Linked DNA regions of Mus musculus. The protein of the gene in region 1 purifies or fractionates together with the protein of each later gene. This does not show direct contact. Links are inferred from orthologs where the notes say so. Each region holds a gene or a part of one and is shown in the gene's direction. Other genes may lie near its edges.

The links. Proteins that work in one complex are often made in the same cells at the same time.
Region 2: the proteins of Ppp2r1a (region 1) and Ppme1 purify together in Homo sapiens (affinity purification with mass spectrometry; 11 studies listed by BioGRID and IntAct, with this or other methods). This does not show direct contact. The link is inferred for Mus musculus from reciprocal best matches to the Homo sapiens genes PPP2R1A and PPME1.

The regions. Positions count from the first base shown.
Region 1 is NC_000083.6:20,955,696-20,963,999, forward strand, and holds part of Ppp2r1a (serine/threonine-protein phosphatase 2A 65 kDa regulatory subunit A alpha isoform), read left to right. Parts: intron 1-92; coding exon 93-325; intron 326-1,009; coding exon 1,010-1,157; intron 1,158-1,261; coding exon 1,262-1,417; intron 1,418-3,024; coding exon 3,025-3,139; intron 3,140-3,244; coding exon 3,245-3,315; intron 3,316-3,693; coding exon 3,694-3,828; intron 3,829-4,770; coding exon 4,771-4,944; intron 4,945-5,257; coding exon 5,258-5,318; intron 5,319-5,889; coding exon 5,890-6,044; intron 6,045-6,878; coding exon 6,879-7,021; intron 7,022-8,304. UniProt on the Homo sapiens protein: The PR65 subunit of protein phosphatase 2A serves as a scaffolding molecule to coordinate the assembly of the catalytic subunit and a variable regulatory B subunit.
Region 2 is NC_000073.6:100,337,684-100,345,987, reverse strand, and holds part of Ppme1 (protein phosphatase methylesterase 1), read left to right. Parts: intron 1-881; coding exon 882-1,036; intron 1,037-4,051; coding exon 4,052-4,142; intron 4,143-4,891; coding exon 4,892-4,957; intron 4,958-7,494; coding exon 7,495-7,618; intron 7,619-8,304. UniProt on the Homo sapiens protein: Demethylates proteins that have been reversibly carboxymethylated. Demethylates PPP2CB (in vitro) and PPP2CA. Binding to PPP2CA displaces the manganese ion and inactivates the enzyme.

The DNA.
Region 1 (8,304 bases):
TCAGAGGAGTCTCCAGTCAGGCCATGAGGTAGGGTTCCACAGTGGAAACAGTGAGAAAAACACTGGTTTCTAACTTTGTGTTCTTATTACAGCCACCCCTTGAGTCACTGGCCACAGTGGAAGAGACAGTAGTGCGAGACAAGGCGGTAGAATCCTTGCGGGCCATCTCTCATGAGCACTCACCTTCCGATCTAGAGGCTCACTTTGTGCCTCTGGTAAAGCGGCTGGCGGGTGGAGACTGGTTCACCTCCCGCACCTCGGCCTGTGGTCTCTTCTCAGTTTGCTACCCCCGAGTATCCAGTGCCGTGAAGGCAGAACTTCGACAGTAAGTTCTCACTCCCATCACCTTACCTAACCTTCCTCTAAGCCTCAGCCCCTTTAGGTCTTCCATGACCTAATGTCTAATGTCCTTGATGACTCCCTCCTCCCTCCTCAGTTCTCCAAAGAGGCTTGTCCTTCACAGTGATCACTGGACACTGTACTTCAGCAGTGAATTTGCCTGGTCTGCCTTCATGGAAATTTATTCCTGCCATTAGTTACACATTGTGGGCTTGGAGCAGAATACAGCATAACAAATAGTATCTGGTATTATTTCCAGCCTGCTCCAGGTTTAGACCCCTCATTTGCTGACTGCCTTGTTGCTCATAACTATTAAGCAGAAGTTGCTGAGATGTCACTTCATACCACATGCTGCATGTCTCCAATTGTTTCCCATGTATCTCTTAATGAGGCAATTGCTCCTGAAATGGAAGGCAAGTTTTAAACCGTTCTTAGTACTGTGTTGTACTGTTTGACTGATACGTCAAATCAGCTGTGTGGGGACTTGCTATTGCCATTGGTCCGTATAATAGTTTATAGAGCTGAGAAGACAGAGAAGTCATGAGTTATACAAAGTCACCATTGTCAGCACCAGAATTTACTGCAGAACCAGCAGTGCTCTGTGCTGTGCCGGGACACTAGCAGTTAGGACTTTCCAGGATTCTAAGTCTGGACCTCCATCCAATCCCAGGTACTTCCGGAACCTGTGCTCAGATGACACCCCCATGGTGCGGCGGGCCGCTGCCTCCAAGCTGGGGGAATTTGCCAAGGTACTGGAGCTGGACAATGTCAAGAGTGAGATCATTCCCATGTTCTCTAACCTGGCCTCTGACGAGCAGGTAAGTCAGTCGTCAGCTTTCACAATGCAAGTAAGCTTAGAAGGGAGTGCACCCTTAAGACTCAGTGGGCCTGTGTTTCCCTACCCCTCTGCTGTTTTCCCTAGGACTCGGTGCGGCTGCTGGCAGTGGAGGCATGTGTGAATATTGCCCAGCTTCTGCCACAGGAGGACCTGGAGGCCTTAGTGATGCCCACCTTGCGACAGGCTGCTGAGGACAAGTCTTGGCGTGTTCGCTACATGGTGGCCGACAAGTTCACAGAGGTAGGTTGCCATAGTTCCACAGGTGTGGACACTGAGGCTCTCTGAGGGGAGAAGGGAGCAACATACAGGAACTGACATACTGTATTTTAAGGATAGTACGGTCCTGAGTCTTAAAGAGAAACCCAATGATCTCCCAGAGCCAGTCCTGGGTGGGTGATTCAAATCAGACCGCTGTGTTGAGAGTGATTCTGAAGCCAAGTTTCAACTCCATGAAAGCATTTTCCCTAAACTTATAACCTCTCTAAGAAAGACACAGCCCCAGTGATAGTGGCAGCAACCACAAGCTAGTCAGAGCAGGGACATATATGCTGTTTGTGCTGAGATCCAAATGTTCTTAGCCAACAGCATGTACTCCCCACCACCCCCTTCTTGCTAATTCTGAGAGTTGAACCCAGTTCTTTAACCATGTTAGGCAAGTGCTCTCCTGTTGGCCATATTCCCAAGTCTGTAGTTAAGAGCATTGTCCTTGGTCGAGGTTCTGGAGTGAGTTAATTGCACACATTCCTGGTCTTCAAGGAGCAAGCTAAAAGTCAGCTTCAATAGAAAGTGCTGATGGGGGCTGGAGAGAAGGCTCAGAGGTTAAGAGCACGGACTGATCTTCCAGGGGTCCTGGGTTTAATTCCTAGCAACCACAGGTTTGCTCACAACCATGTATAACGTAATCTAATGCCCTCCTCTGATGTGTCTGAAGAGTGTGACAGTATACTCACATACTTATAATGAATAAATCTTTTTTTTTAAAAGTTAGTTCTAATGGAATATTTTGTGTTTTGTTTCTCTTGACGGCTCTGTGATACTTAGAGCAAAACAATAAGCCTGTGCAGAGGATGTAGGCGATAAGAGACTGAGTAAGAAGTAGCATTCATGGCTGGGTGCTGAAATTCAGTGAGCAGAGGAGCAGAAATGATGGAGAAGAGCTCTCTCATGGAAGACTCAGCCCTAAGGAATGTATTCCTGGGTCTAGTGAAGTTGTTTGAGATCTGGCCGTGTAGAAGAAGTAGGCTGACACTGTGACTTGGACGACAGGGTCATGGGATATGGAAATAATAGTCTGTCCACAGCACACAGCTCATAAGTACAGTACAAGGCCCTGCAAGGTGTTTACGTCATTACTTTTAGTAGTAGAGTCATCCTGCTTTCAACTGTTCTTCCAACAACCAAGTTGAAGCAAACTCATCCACATACTTTTCCTACATCCTTGTTACTGGCATGTGTTTTCCTCTTCACTGTTTTTAATCATTTTCATTGCAAAAATGATACCAACTTCTTGTAACAATTTTAATAAAATTCAGTTATGTTTACATATTTTCATGTTAGATGAAATCAGGGACCACTTACTGTGTTTAGGTAGTAAGAAATCCAACCTCATATAACCTGGGCAATAAATGGAAAACATACTGTGCAGAATGTCCTGTAACCCTCATTCTGTTTCTGAAGAAGTCATCAGAGACGTGACGACTTCACTTGTTGGTCGTGTCATCATGCTGGAACTATGTCCCTTGTGCTGCGTCCTAACCTTATTCTGGTGCTTTCATCTCCATTTTTGCCTCTTTAGCCCTGAGTGATTGCCAGACTCTTCAGTTCTGCTTCTCTTCTCTATTGTACAGCTCCAGAAAGCAGTGGGGCCTGAGATCACCAAGACAGATCTGGTGCCTGCCTTCCAGAACCTGATGAAGGACTGTGAGGCCGAGGTGAGGGCCGCAGCCTCCCACAAGGTCAAAGGTTGGTGCTGACAACCAGAACACAACTAGATGGGTGGATTTCTAAGAGGCAGAAATGGGCCCAGAGCATCAAATCTCACTAATACCTTCCTCTCCCTGCCCACAGAGTTCTGTGAAAATCTCTCAGCTGACTGCCGGGAGAATGTGATCATGACTCAGATCTTGCCCTGCATCAAGGTAATAGAGTATTTGGTTGTAGGATTTGGTTTTAGATACAATCAGATCCAAGGCCTTTTGAGATACTGTAACTGTTTAACAGTCATGGATTAGGCTGTAGGCAAAATCTGAAGGTTGAAACTGACCCTCAGATCTAAGGGATGTATTTACTGCTCAGAGACCAGAGTTCCCTTATCCACAGAGTTTTGGGGAATAGGGCAGTGGCCCCAGGATCGGGGCTCACATAACCATCTCTTTAAATGTAGTGCAGCCCTGAGATGCCCTGCCTATGAAAAGCAGAAGACTGTGGTCTTAGAATTGGGGCTACTGTCTATGTGGCCAGTTATCATTAAAGGGGATTTTTCTGACCTTGGCTCCCTCCTTCCTTCTCTTCTGAAGGAGCTTGTGTCAGATGCCAACCAACATGTCAAGTCAGCACTGGCTTCAGTCATCATGGGCCTCTCTCCCATTCTGGGCAAAGACAACACCATCGAACACCTCTTGCCCCTGTTCTTGGCTCAGCTGAAGGATGAGGTAAGAGTGGCAGGAAGGTTTTCAAAGTCAATCAAATTATCCAAAAGTATTTTAAAAGTTTGGCACCACACTCTACACTCTCTGCTTTGATAAGTTGATGACAGGCAAAAGTGTCTGCTTGTTCACTCGTTCTTGTCAGACATGCCTCATGTGCCTTTAATTTTGTACTCATCCGTTCCCTGAGTGTTGAACAAAGACCAAGACAATGGTGATCTTTAGGGATCTATAGAATGTGCCAGTAGAGAGGACAGATGGATAAATTGTCCCATAATTCAACTCAGAAACTAGGTACTGGGAGAAGTGCGCCATAGTTTAAAGCTTCATGTTTCCACTGAAATAGCTCTAGCTTGTGTCTTCTACATGCTCTGTTGGCCATAGCCAGTCTGGTCACCATACTTGCCTGTGCACTGTAGTAACAGTTTAGGGAATTGGATTTGAATCTGTAGGCAAGTGCTGCAGCTGCAAGAGATCTTTCTGTTAGGAAAATATAGCCAGTGTTAGTGAGAGATAGGAGAGATGGCCAGAGATCCTGGGAAGCCAGACTAGTGGGATGCTATCCATTGGCATTCTTTAATGGAGCACTTTGGTAGATTATACTGTGGCTTCTTCTACGGTGGTGAATGCAGATTTGTCCCCATGACTCATAGGCTGTTCCTACTCAAGAAATCATGTCCAAAGGTCTGGGATTCTGTGTCAGTGAGAAGTGAGAATGATAGAAAATATTCCCAACATATTCACTCCTTTGTGTTCCAGACACTAGGTACTTCTTTCAGTTTATCAAGTGCTCCCATTTCACGTTGCAGAGCCTCAGCTACTCTTGAGACGAGGTGGATATTTTGTGTTATAGGACAATACCCAGAAAGAGCTCTTGCCTGCTCCTCTCAGCCTTCTAGGGTTGCTGTATGTAGTATGTTCTCTCAACCTTCCTATTTTCTTTCCAAGTGTCCTGAAGTCCGACTGAATATCATCTCCAACCTGGATTGTGTGAACGAGGTGATTGGCATCAGGCAGCTCTCTCAGTCCCTGCTTCCTGCCATCGTGGAACTAGCTGAAGATGCCAAGTGGCGAGTGCGGCTGGCCATCATTGAATACATGCCTCTGCTGGCTGGACAGCTTGTGAGTGAGGATCCATCCAGGTTTTGCTGGTCCTGAAGTGATAAGAGTATAGGGTCCAGTCCTATCCCCAGTACCAGGGCTGTGTTGCTGTAACAAGGGACTTGGAGATACCTCTTGTAGGCAGTGACAGCTGCCCATGCAGAGAGGACTCTACTCTGAAATTAGACTCTTAGCAGATGAGTGGGGTTCATTCAGAACAAGAACACTTAGCAGATCAGGTGGGGTTGAGAATTGCATGATTCTCTGGGACCAGGCCCTCCCTTCCATCCTTCCTCTCACCCCTCAAATCCTTACCAATCTTTTTTCCCCGCAGGGTGTGGAATTTTTTGATGAGAAACTAAACTCTTTGTGTATGGCCTGGCTAGTGGATCATGGTAAGTTCCCCCAGCAACACAGCAGGATAGGTTAACCCCAAAGACAGAAAGATAATTAGGACATTCTTCTGCTGTCAGTGCTTACATGTTGCTGTTAAGAAGCCATAGTGTAGATTGGGGTTGAGGTTATGGGTGGATGCAGAAGACCTGAGTTTGAATCCTTAGTCTGCTGAAACATACCAAGTGTCTTCCCATCTTCTATCTTTACGCTCATTCCAAAACATGAAGACTTCTTACCATGGCCTCTCAGCCCTTGTGAAACACATTATTTGTTTTTTATTAATGGGGTTAAAAAATTTACTGTTTTTTTTTCTACCAGTTTTAATTAGTATGTATTAAAGTGTAATTTACATTAGCAGAGCCTCAACCATCAATCCTTCTGAATAATGAGGCAAATGGTGCCTGCCTCTGTAGGTGGCCAAAAGGTGCTGTATGAGAAAGAGAAACTAGGTTAACATAGCAAGTGCTATTTTCTGTTTTTGCTGAATTTGCTGATATGTGTGTAGCTGTTAATGCCCTCCTGCTCAGTCCTTCATCTTGAATCACCTCCCTTGCTCTGTCTCCATTGCAGTCTATGCTATCCGTGAGGCTGCCACCAGCAACCTTAAGAAATTAGTAGAGAAGTTCGGGAAGGAGTGGGCCCATGCCACTATCATCCCCAAGGTCTTAGCCATGTCTGGAGACCCTAACTACCTGCACCGAATGACTACACTCTTCTGCATCAATGTGAGCACCCCAACTGCCTATAGATCCCAGGGAACGGGAGTGCTGCTGATGTGAAGGTGGAGGAAGACCCTTTGTCTACCCAGATGTTTGGCTTGGGAATAGAAACATGACTAAGGATAAGTTTCTGAGGACTGCAGGCTAATGCTTGAATCTGCAGTATTTGATCGGGTCTCTACAGGGCCAAGATTGCATGGTGAGAGATCCAAGTTTGGGAGGCTTCTGTATGAGAGCAGCAGCCTCATATTCTGTGCACCTCTACTGGTTGGGAAGGAGAACACATGCTTCTGTCACACATCATAGGACCTAACCAGTTAGTAGTTTGGTTTTCTCATCTTTTGAGATTTATGGTGGTTTTCAACAGGATGTGAAAAATAATGTAATAATAGAGAGCATAGAACAGTTCTGATTCTGTGTCAGAATATACTTACTACTCATTTTTAGTTGTGTTTTACTTCTTATACTGTTTAGTGACATGTAAATCCTACACAAGCTAGAAGCTAAAGATGGGTTAGAAACAATCTTAAGTAAACATTTTGCTTATTTCCTCTGCTACAATTTCGAGATTCCGTTATGAAGGTGGCATTTCAGGGGATAGAAATCCAGACCTCTCAAATGCTGAGAATGATGGAAGTCCAGATATAAAGTCTGAAACATCCCCAGTGAAGACTGTGTTAGGGATTTTAGAACTCCCCACAGTCATGCTTCTAGACCCATACCCTTCCATGTTGCTCCTGGGTCCTGATGATGACTCAGGCAGCATATTCAGAAGAAGATATATGGGGACTTAGCAGTAAGCCTTGCATAACTGTACTTCTGCCATTCACTGGTTTTCAGGTGTTGTCTGAGGTCTGTGGACAGGATATCACCACCAAGCACATGCTGCCCACAGTTCTTCGTATGGCAGGGGACCCAGTTGCCAATGTCCGCTTCAATGTGGCCAAGTCACTCCAGAAGATAGGACCCATTCTTGATAACAGGTGAGGTCTGGGGGTTCTAAACATCTTAGATATTTAAAGACAGAACTCAGGGTCTGATTTCTTTATGCGTTGTGACCCATGCCTGTTCTTTCCTCTCCACAAAGTCTATCTTCTCTGTTTTAGAATAAGAATTCATTTCTCTAGAGTACAATGAAAAAAGAAAGGCAGAGGCAGGTGGATTTCTGAGTTCGAGGCCAGCCTGGTCTACAGAATGAGTTCCAGGACAGCCAGAGCTATAGAGAGAAACCTTGTCTCAAAAAACAAGAAGAAAAAAAAAATACATGTAATGAAATATACTTAACATTTCTAGGGAAACTATTAAGCACTGCCACAGGAAGCTTTGGTAAACATATAGTCTTCATTCCCTGTACTTATATTTGAGGCCATTATATATCAGCAGAGTTTTAGTAGGAACTGGCCTGGGAATGCAGAGTGCTTGGCTAGCCCATACATCCTAAAGAACAAAACTATGCACCTCAAGTCTACCTGACACATAATTTAGAAACAGCATGGGGCAGGGACAGGATATTCATGTCTCACTAGAATATTTTCTAGAGCACTCTGGTACCATTGTAGTTTGATGGCTAAGTGTCTGTCTTCTAAAACTGACTGGATCAGTTGGTTGCCCACATAAACCCAAACAGAATTTCTGCCTCTACATAAACAAATTAGTTTTTGAGCTAGAACCAGCATGATGAATAAAACATGTAGAAAATATAGAATGTCTTCATGTCTTGAGTTGGACATAAACCTGCTAAGATGCCAAAAGAAGTGATTGATAAGATGGCCCTCAAGAAAATGAAAAGCTGTGTATCAGAAGGCTAACCTGACAGTGTGGAGATGTTTCTATATAAAGAACTCCTCTAGTATCCTATATATAGGAAGATAAAGAATTCCCATGATACACATGGGAAGAAGACATAGAGGAAAGTATGGCATATGACATTCAAGTGGGAGTATGGGAAGATGAGAGCTACAAGTAGGGTTGAGAGAGGGGAGGAAGGAAGGTAGTCAAAATTAATATATGTGAAAATATGAGAATGAGGTAACTTGTGCTTTTGTTTCAGTTTAAAAGTACTGTCTTCACATGCTCAGTGAGGACATCGACTAGGTGCTCTGCAGTGTACGCTGTTAACATAGCACAGGTTACAGCTGAAATACTCGGCTGAACATCGTGCTATGGGAATTGTAGTGCAGATAGGATGAGCATTTTAACTGGAAGGATCCAGCTAGCTAGATGTAGACCCTAATCCAGCCCTTGCTTTTAGACAGTACTCAGTGTT
Region 2 (8,304 bases), on another chromosome or scaffold:
TTTATCAATGATTGCTTTTCCAACAGAAATACTGCAAACTTGCAAAGAATTATACTTTACAATATATGAATTTGAAAAAGGCATTTGTTAATCACAGCTACACTGAATAAGTTTTAGTTTTTTCCTTTGCACTAAGTAACACTTTGCCTTTCCCAAGGTATCTTGTCTTTTGAAGCAACACTGCTGTAAAGGAAACTTGGATTTTCTTTCTTTTTTCTTTTTTTCTTTTTTTTCTTTTTCTTTCTTTTTTTTTAACTTTTGAATTCTCTTTTCAGCTGAGTCTTTTCATTTGAATAGTACTTTACCTTTTGGATAACAGTTTACATTCACTTCTCACTCATTTCTCAAAGCAGCTCCTACAGATTGTCCTCTGACTTCCACATGTGCGCACACACACACACACAAATGTAAAACAAATAAGTTATGTTAGATGACAGAAAAAAGCTCCTAGTGAAGTTGATATAGCTCATACAGAGGCTGATCGTATGCTGCTACCCCAAGCCTTATTGCATTATTCATGGAAAAACAGAGGCTTAGAGTAAATTATTTCTCCGGAATGCCAAGCTTAAATTAACATACAGTTGTATATTTATATGATTGTACTAAATTTGTAGGATGATAAAAGGATGGTACTAAGAAAGATCAGAAATTTGGGGTTCTTAGTCCTTAACTGGCCATTTATCTGGAGAACTAGGTGTGTTGCTCTCTGCATAGATACTAGGGACCGTGCATGCAGGCTTACATAGGTGTCTTTGTAGAGTGGCCCTGTGAGTCTTTACCATTTCCCACAACGTTTAGTTACAGTCCAACAGAAGAAACTGAGAAAGCAAGCTATTTTTGGTGTCTTCCTCCAGCACTCTCAGTTTTCTCTTTCTTTGCAGAGATGTTGGCAATGTGGTGGAAGCCATGTATGGAGACCTCCCTCCTCCAGTCATGCTGATTGGGCACAGCATGGGTGGCGCCATTGCAGTGCACACAGCCGCAGCTAACCTGGTACCAAGCCTCTTGGGCCTTTGCATGATTGATGTTGTAGAAGGTAAGTTTTCTTAGTACTGATCAAACCAGATTCAGTCATTTGTAGGAGGTCCCCTGGTATGGTATTACCTTGGCCTTAATTTAGTCTCAATTTCATTCATCTTGAAGTGTACCCCTATGTCTTTGTGTCTTTATACAATCAGCTAGAGAAAGTACCCAAGATGCTGAAGGGGTCTGCAACCCTATAGGAGGAACAACAATATGAACTAATCAGTACCCCTAGAGCGTGTGTCTCTAGCTGCATATGTATCAGAAGATGGCCTAGTCGGCCATCATTGGAAAGAGAGGCCCTTGGTCTTGCAAACTTTATATGCCCAGTACAGGGGAACACCAGGGCCAAGAAGTGGGAGTGGGTGGGTTGGGGAGCAGGGCAGGGGGAGGGTATAGGGGACTTTTGGGATAGCATTTGAAATGTAAATGAAGAAAATATCTAATAAAAGATTATACAGTCATTTTTCATGTTACCAAAAACTATTCAAGAATACCTTTTTATGGCTGAATAATACTTCTAATCATGTGCATGTATGTCTCTTAGTTTTCCATTTAAAAAGAAACTGCTTTTAATTTTCTGACTTACCCTGAGAATCTCACTGCTGCTTGTACAGGTTAGCTATATCTATTGATGTGTGCCACACAAGGAGTGAATACCAGTAGTCAAGAATTGCTGAGACTCATATTGGAAGCTGGCTTGTGTTAATTCTTGCAATGTTATTAAATTGCATCTTTACTTTTACCCAAGTATCACTGAATTTTCCTGTTACCAGGAGCAAAGATATAGAGTTGACTCAATTTGACAGTTTTGCCCCTGTGACAAAATATCTGAGATAAGCAATTTAAAGGAGGAAAGGTTTTTGGTCCACAGTGTCAGGTTTGGGTCTGTGGCTAGTGGGTCCATTTCTTTTAGGATGTGGAGAGTCAGCATTTCATACAGAGGGAGGGAGACTGTACTCCCAGGGCTTGCCCCGAGTTACTGCTTCCTCTAAGTAGGTCCTGCCTCCAAACAGCCTGCTCAGTATGCACTCAACAATAGATACTCTATCAGTGAAGTTAGTATCTTCATTATTTAACCACCTCTCAATAGTGTGAACAGCTGGTGACCAAGCCATCCACACGTGAACCTTTTGGGGAGGAGTCTGCCCGTACAAGTAATGGCATCCCGTCATTGTGAATGTGAAGAGTAACATGAGCAGCTTTGTTCACATGGTGATACAGGCATAGGCAAGGGTGAGTAGGACTCCAATAGCACAGGAAGTAATCTGAACAATTAACCACTGGAAGTCCACGGTGGCCTTCAGAGCAGGAAAGGATCTCTGAAAGCTAGATCATAGTGGAGATCAATATCCAATATATAAATATATTAATATCCAGCATATAAAAACATATACTGTATACATAAATACAGTATGTATAAATATATGTGTATACACACACACACATACATATATATATTTAATGTATATGTAAAATTCAACACCAGAAGGTGATATCATTTAGTCAATGAATGGGCTAAAAAAAAAAGTTCTCAAAAGAAGAAAAACAAATTGCTAATAAAGAATAGAAAAACTATTTCATATCCTTAATCATCATGGAGATGCAAATTAAAACTGTTTTTGAGATTTCAAGCACCTTAGTCAAGATTCCTGTCATCACTAAAACAAATGATTGCTTGGTGGTAAGGATATGAGGAAGGAGGGACCCTTACTCGTTGCTGACTGGAATGTAGCCACACTGGAAATCAGTATGGAGATTCCTCAAAAATTGGAACTACCAATGACCCAACTCTACCTGTTTTGGTAGAAATCAGAATACCAGAGACACACCCATTGTAAAGCTGCTATGTTCACAATAGCCAGGGAATGGAACTAGCCTGGATATCCAGTATAGATGCATTAGATAAAATGTGATACATATGTGCAAAGAAAGTTTATGCAGCCATAAAGAAAAAAGGAAATCATGACATTTGCAGGAAAACAGATGAAACTGTAAATCATTATGTGTCTTAGAGATTTATTGCTAAGAGGAGACACCACGACCAAGCAACTCTTTTTTTGTTTGTTTTTCTGTTTTTTTGTTTTTTTCAAGACAGGGTTTCTCTGTATAGCCCTGGCTGTCCTGGAACTCACTTTGTAGACCAGGCTGGCCTCGAACTCAGAAATCTGCCTGCCTCTGCCTCCTGAGTGCTGGGTTTAAAGGCGTGCGCCACCACACCCAGCGACCATGCAACTCTTATAAAGGAAAACATTTAACTGGGGCTGGCTTACAGGTTCAGAGGTTCAGTCCATTATCATCATGGTGGAAGCATGGCAGTGTGCAGGCAGAGATGGTACTGGAGGAGCTGAGAGGTCTACATCTCGATCTGAAGGTAGCCAAGGAGGAGACCCTCTACTCTCTTCTGTGCTGGGCGGGGCTTGAGCATTAGGAGCCCTCAAAGCCCACCTCCAGAGTGACACACTTCCTCCAATAAGGAGGAGCCTCAGATACTTGGGAGGCAGAGACAGGAAGATTTCTGTGTTTGAGGCCAGCCTGGTCTACAGACTGAGTTCCAGGACAGCCAGGGCTACACAGAGAAACCCTGTCTTGAAAAAAAACAAAAAAAAAAAAAAAAAAAAAGGAGGAACCTCAGAGAACTCTCCCATGTTCTCTTTCATATGTGGAAAGTAAATTTAAAATTGTGTGTGTGTGAGAGGGAGGGAGGGAGGGAGGGAGGGAGGGAGAGGGAGCTATAAAAGATCATCGTGAGAGGAGGACACTATCTTAAGGTGGTGAGAGGGTAATGGGTTATATATGATAAGAGATCAGAAGAGGGGACTTAACTGGGGGAGAAGGAAAGCCAGCTGGAGCGGGGCGTGAAAGGAGTAGTCAGGGAGGGGAGTGTGAGCACCCAGCAACAAAGTATGGCAGGAGTGATGGAGCCAGGATTTGTGTACTAACCTAAAAAGGGAAAAGAAATATTTAGTACAATTTGTAAAGCAAGAAAACGAAAAAGTTTATTGATATATTTAAAATTTTGTTTCAGGTACCGCCATGGATGCACTTAATAGCATGCAGAATTTCTTGCGTGGTCGACCTAAAACCTTCAAGTCTTTGGAGAATGCTATTGAATGGAGGTAACCCACAAACCTAAGACTTAATTTTAAATGTTATATTCTAACCTGCCCCGCCTCTCTTTTCTTCCTCCCTCCCTCCCTCCTTGCCTCCCTCCTTCCCATCCTCCCTCTATTTTTAAGTCAGCTCAGGTACTAAGATAAACAGGTGAGTCTCCCTTTCTGTGATAGTATGTAAGGAAATAGTTCAAAGCAGAGTATTTTTTAAATGTTTCATACTTGCCGCAGTCCTCTGTAAAGTGTGCCTAATATACCATCTCCTAGGACATTAGTGGTCGCAGGCCACCTGCTGTCCAGCTGGGTTTGCCCTGAAGTTGAGGACTTAGACCAGGTGGTCTGCAAGGCCGCCTCCTCCTCTGAAGCTCCATGGTTCTACATCCACTTTCTGTGTTTGACATAAAATGATAAAGAAATAGCAGATGGAGTTTCTGTTCTGGAGTGAGCAGGGCAAGTGGAGATTCCTCTCTCTAGAATTATTTGTGTTTATGATAAAAACCTAATAGTAAATAGTTTATTATAAAAATTGCTGATAGAATTACCCATGGCTTCTGTTAAAGGCTGTCAATCATGAATATATTCATTAGTCCAATTGATAATTTTATAAGTCTGTATAAAGTTTTCTTCATGCTGAAGCACATGGTGACTGCAGCTTTTTGTTTGATCCTATGCAATCTACAAAATTACTCCTTCCTTCTGATGTTGTGCTGAGATGAATGCAGAGTAACCTCTCCTTCCTTATTTTCCTTTACTAGTGTGAAGAGTGGCCAGATTCGAAACCTTGAGTCTGCCCGTGTATCCATGGTCGGCCAAGTCAAACAGTAGGTCTTTTATCTCTGCCTGGTTAGAGAGTAAGAGATAGGACAGAATTCGATTGTTCCTTTATTTCTACACTTACTCTGCCACACTGGTAAATGCTTCCATTCTTTTAGAGAAAAGTCAAGTTGAGTTCTGTTAGGCTAGCCAATTTTGTTTTGTTTCTATAAACCCTAAAGCTTGATAGTGTCCAGTGAGTAAACATTTAAACTAAGTATCTACTCTAGTGTCCCTGTGTTAGCAGCCCTGTTGTCACTGAGCCAAACTCAGTTAGCTAGGATGTGCAAGTAGAAAATTCTGGCAGAACTAGAGTAAAAAATAAATTCAAAGGCTGAGCTAACGTTACTTAACCTAAGTGATCTTTCCTGTGGAGTTACACGAGTCCTTTGTGTGGCCACAGATGAATGTTACTTGAGAAACCATCGTCCCTTAGAGCAGGCAGGAGTGCAGGAGTTAGATGAAATCCTAGTGGCATGGTGGGGTGCTTGCTGTGACAGGGACTGTGTGGCAGATTCAGTCTGCAGTCTTGTTGGTAAGATCCTGAATTTCTGGAAACGACATCTTAGTGTCATTCAAGGAACCCTGCTGTGGTCAGTGCCCATTTTGAGTGCTTTAGCCAATGGCAGGTCTTGTGTAGTCTGTGTGCCTGTTTACTTCCTCTGGGCAGAAATGCCTTGAAGCAAACTCTACCCAAACCTGATTACTTTTGCAAGAATTCCTTATGCTCTGGAAGAAAAGATAACATAAGAATAATGACATTATCATACCTAAAATCCAGGATCTTAATAGCATTAATTAACTAAGTAGTAATATTGCTGATTGTCTCAAGTTTTGGTAAGTTTTTGATTTACAGATAATAGTTGTGTGCATTTTGATTTTCACTTTTAACTTAGGAACTAAATAACAAGGCAACTAAAGTTAACAATAATGTAGAACGTATTTCAAAAAGGCCAGAAAAGAAGATTTTTTGAGTGATTTTACCATGAAAAAAGCATTAAGGTGATAGCTATGCTAATTATCCTGAACTAATTATGATAAAGTATACATGATATTGAAATATTTTTTGAGTTACAATTTATTGATGGAAGCTGGCAATTACTGTGACAATGGCCAGCAGGAACCTGCAGGTTTGAACATCCAATCCAAAAAATTACCATTTTCTTCTTCTTAGAAATGGTGCCCCCTTATACAAACACAGGATGACAGAAGAAGGGAGACACACTGGCAAGAAGGGTTTCAGCAGGAGAGGATGAGAGAGGGGACAGGGTGTGAGTGACTACAGTTTTTCTGTATGTGTATAAAACTGTCAAACCTAAACGTGTAAGCGGGCAAACAACAGTACCGCGTTCCTATGTAATTATAGGAAATCATGAACACCCGGCCCCGTGGTTCCCCTTAGGAGAGCTGAGGGTAGTCAGAGACAGGGTTTGTGCTACACAATACAGACAAATTATTTTTGAGAACACAGCTTGGCAAGGAAGAACAGAGGATAAGAAAGGGTAGGGAGAGGACAAAAAAACTGAAGGGTCGGCCCCCACTCTCTCCTTAACAGATAAGAGGAGTAGGTTTTCCCATAGGCCTATTGTAAAATGGACTCCATGTTTTTCTGTGCACTTGTTTTGTTCTGGTTTTTTGATCTTCAATTTCAGTTGATTTTCCTTTTTGAGAAAGACAAAGAACATAAAGTTGGGTGGGTAGAGAGGCAGGGAAAATCTGAGAGGGGTCAGGGAGTAGAAAAAACATGACCAAAACACACTGTTTAAAAAGTATTTTAAAGATAATTTTTGTAAACTGAAGGGAGAGTGACAGATTTTTATGAGCAGCAACTTCTCCTTTTCTAGCACTAAAACAGCTGGGCATGGTGGCGCACGCCTTTAATCCCAGCACTGAGGTTAATCTCAGGTCACTTTTTGAGACAGGCTCTCTCATTGAACCTGGAGCTCATCATACATCCAGCTAAGCTGGCTAGCCAATGAGCTCCAAGGATCTACCTCCCTAACACTGGGGTTCCAGACTCCCTCCACATCTGGCTCTTTACATGAATGCTGGAACTCAAACTCAGGAGGTAGAGGCAGGCGGATTTCTGAGTTCGAGGCCAGCCTGGTCTACAAAGTGAGTTCCAGGACAGCCAGGGCTACACAGAGAAACTTCCTTGTCAAGCTGCTGGCCATTGTCACAGTAATTGCCAGTTTCCATCAGTAAATTGTAACTCCTCAGGACTTTTTACTGTCCTCTTTGGTCGTTGTTCTTAACTATTCAGGACTACTTCAGAGAATTGCTATGAGAGTCATCTAAAAATACCAATAAAACCACTATCCTTATCCAGAAGATGGCTACTCCCTTTTTATGGGTCCTTATTGGTACAAGAACTGGAAACTAGCCATTCGCATATAGCCACAGTTGGTCTTGACCTCCCCCAGCCCTAAAACCACACATCTTCCTCCCAGGAACGGTTTTAGCTCTAACGTTTGATTATAAAAGGCCATAAGGATATCTAAGATAGCTGGGTAAGGCATTCACGAAAGTTTTGTTTTCAATCCAGGTGTGAAGGAATTACAAGTCCAGAAGGTTCCAAATCCATAGTGGAAGGAATCATAGAGGAGGAGGAAGAAGATGAGGAAGGAAGTGAGTCAGTTAACAAGAGGAAAAAGGAAGACGACATGGAAGTGAGTGACGGTCTCATCCTCAACAGATGAGGGGAGAAGGGGAAGCCGAGATAGAATTGTTATTTTTGATTATTTAGAATTGAATAGTTTAGTGGGCAGAGGCACCACGGTAAGAGAGCATTGAGTGGAGGGCACGAATGCAGTATGCAGCAGCTAGAGTGAAAAACTTACTGTGTTCCCTCAGACTTCCTCCCAGGCTCTTCTCACTCCTGTAGGTTCCTCTGCTTTCTCTAAGGGGGAAAAAATCTCATTTTGTATCTGTATCCTATGACTGTCCAGCTCTTACTGCCTCTCAAGGCTTGTCTCTTGGAACAAGCTTTCTGACCTCAGTGTCTATCAGTCCATCTGCATCGTACACTTACAACGATATGGTGCAGTGTACCACTTCTGAAAATTTCTTTTTTTTTTTTTTTTTTTTTTTAAAGATTTATTTATTGATTATATGCAAGTACACTGTAGCTGTCCTCAGACACTCCAGAAGAGAGATCTTGTTACGGATGGTTGTGAGCCACCATGTGGTTGCTGGGATTTGAACTCCTGACCTTCGGAAGAGCAGTCGGGTGCTCTTACCCACTGAGCCATCTCACCAGCCCTGAAAATTTCTTATATCAGGTCTTAATAATTAAACCACATTTAAAGATGCTGTGGACGCCTGACTGTCAGTGATGCCTCCTGTTGCCTTTGAA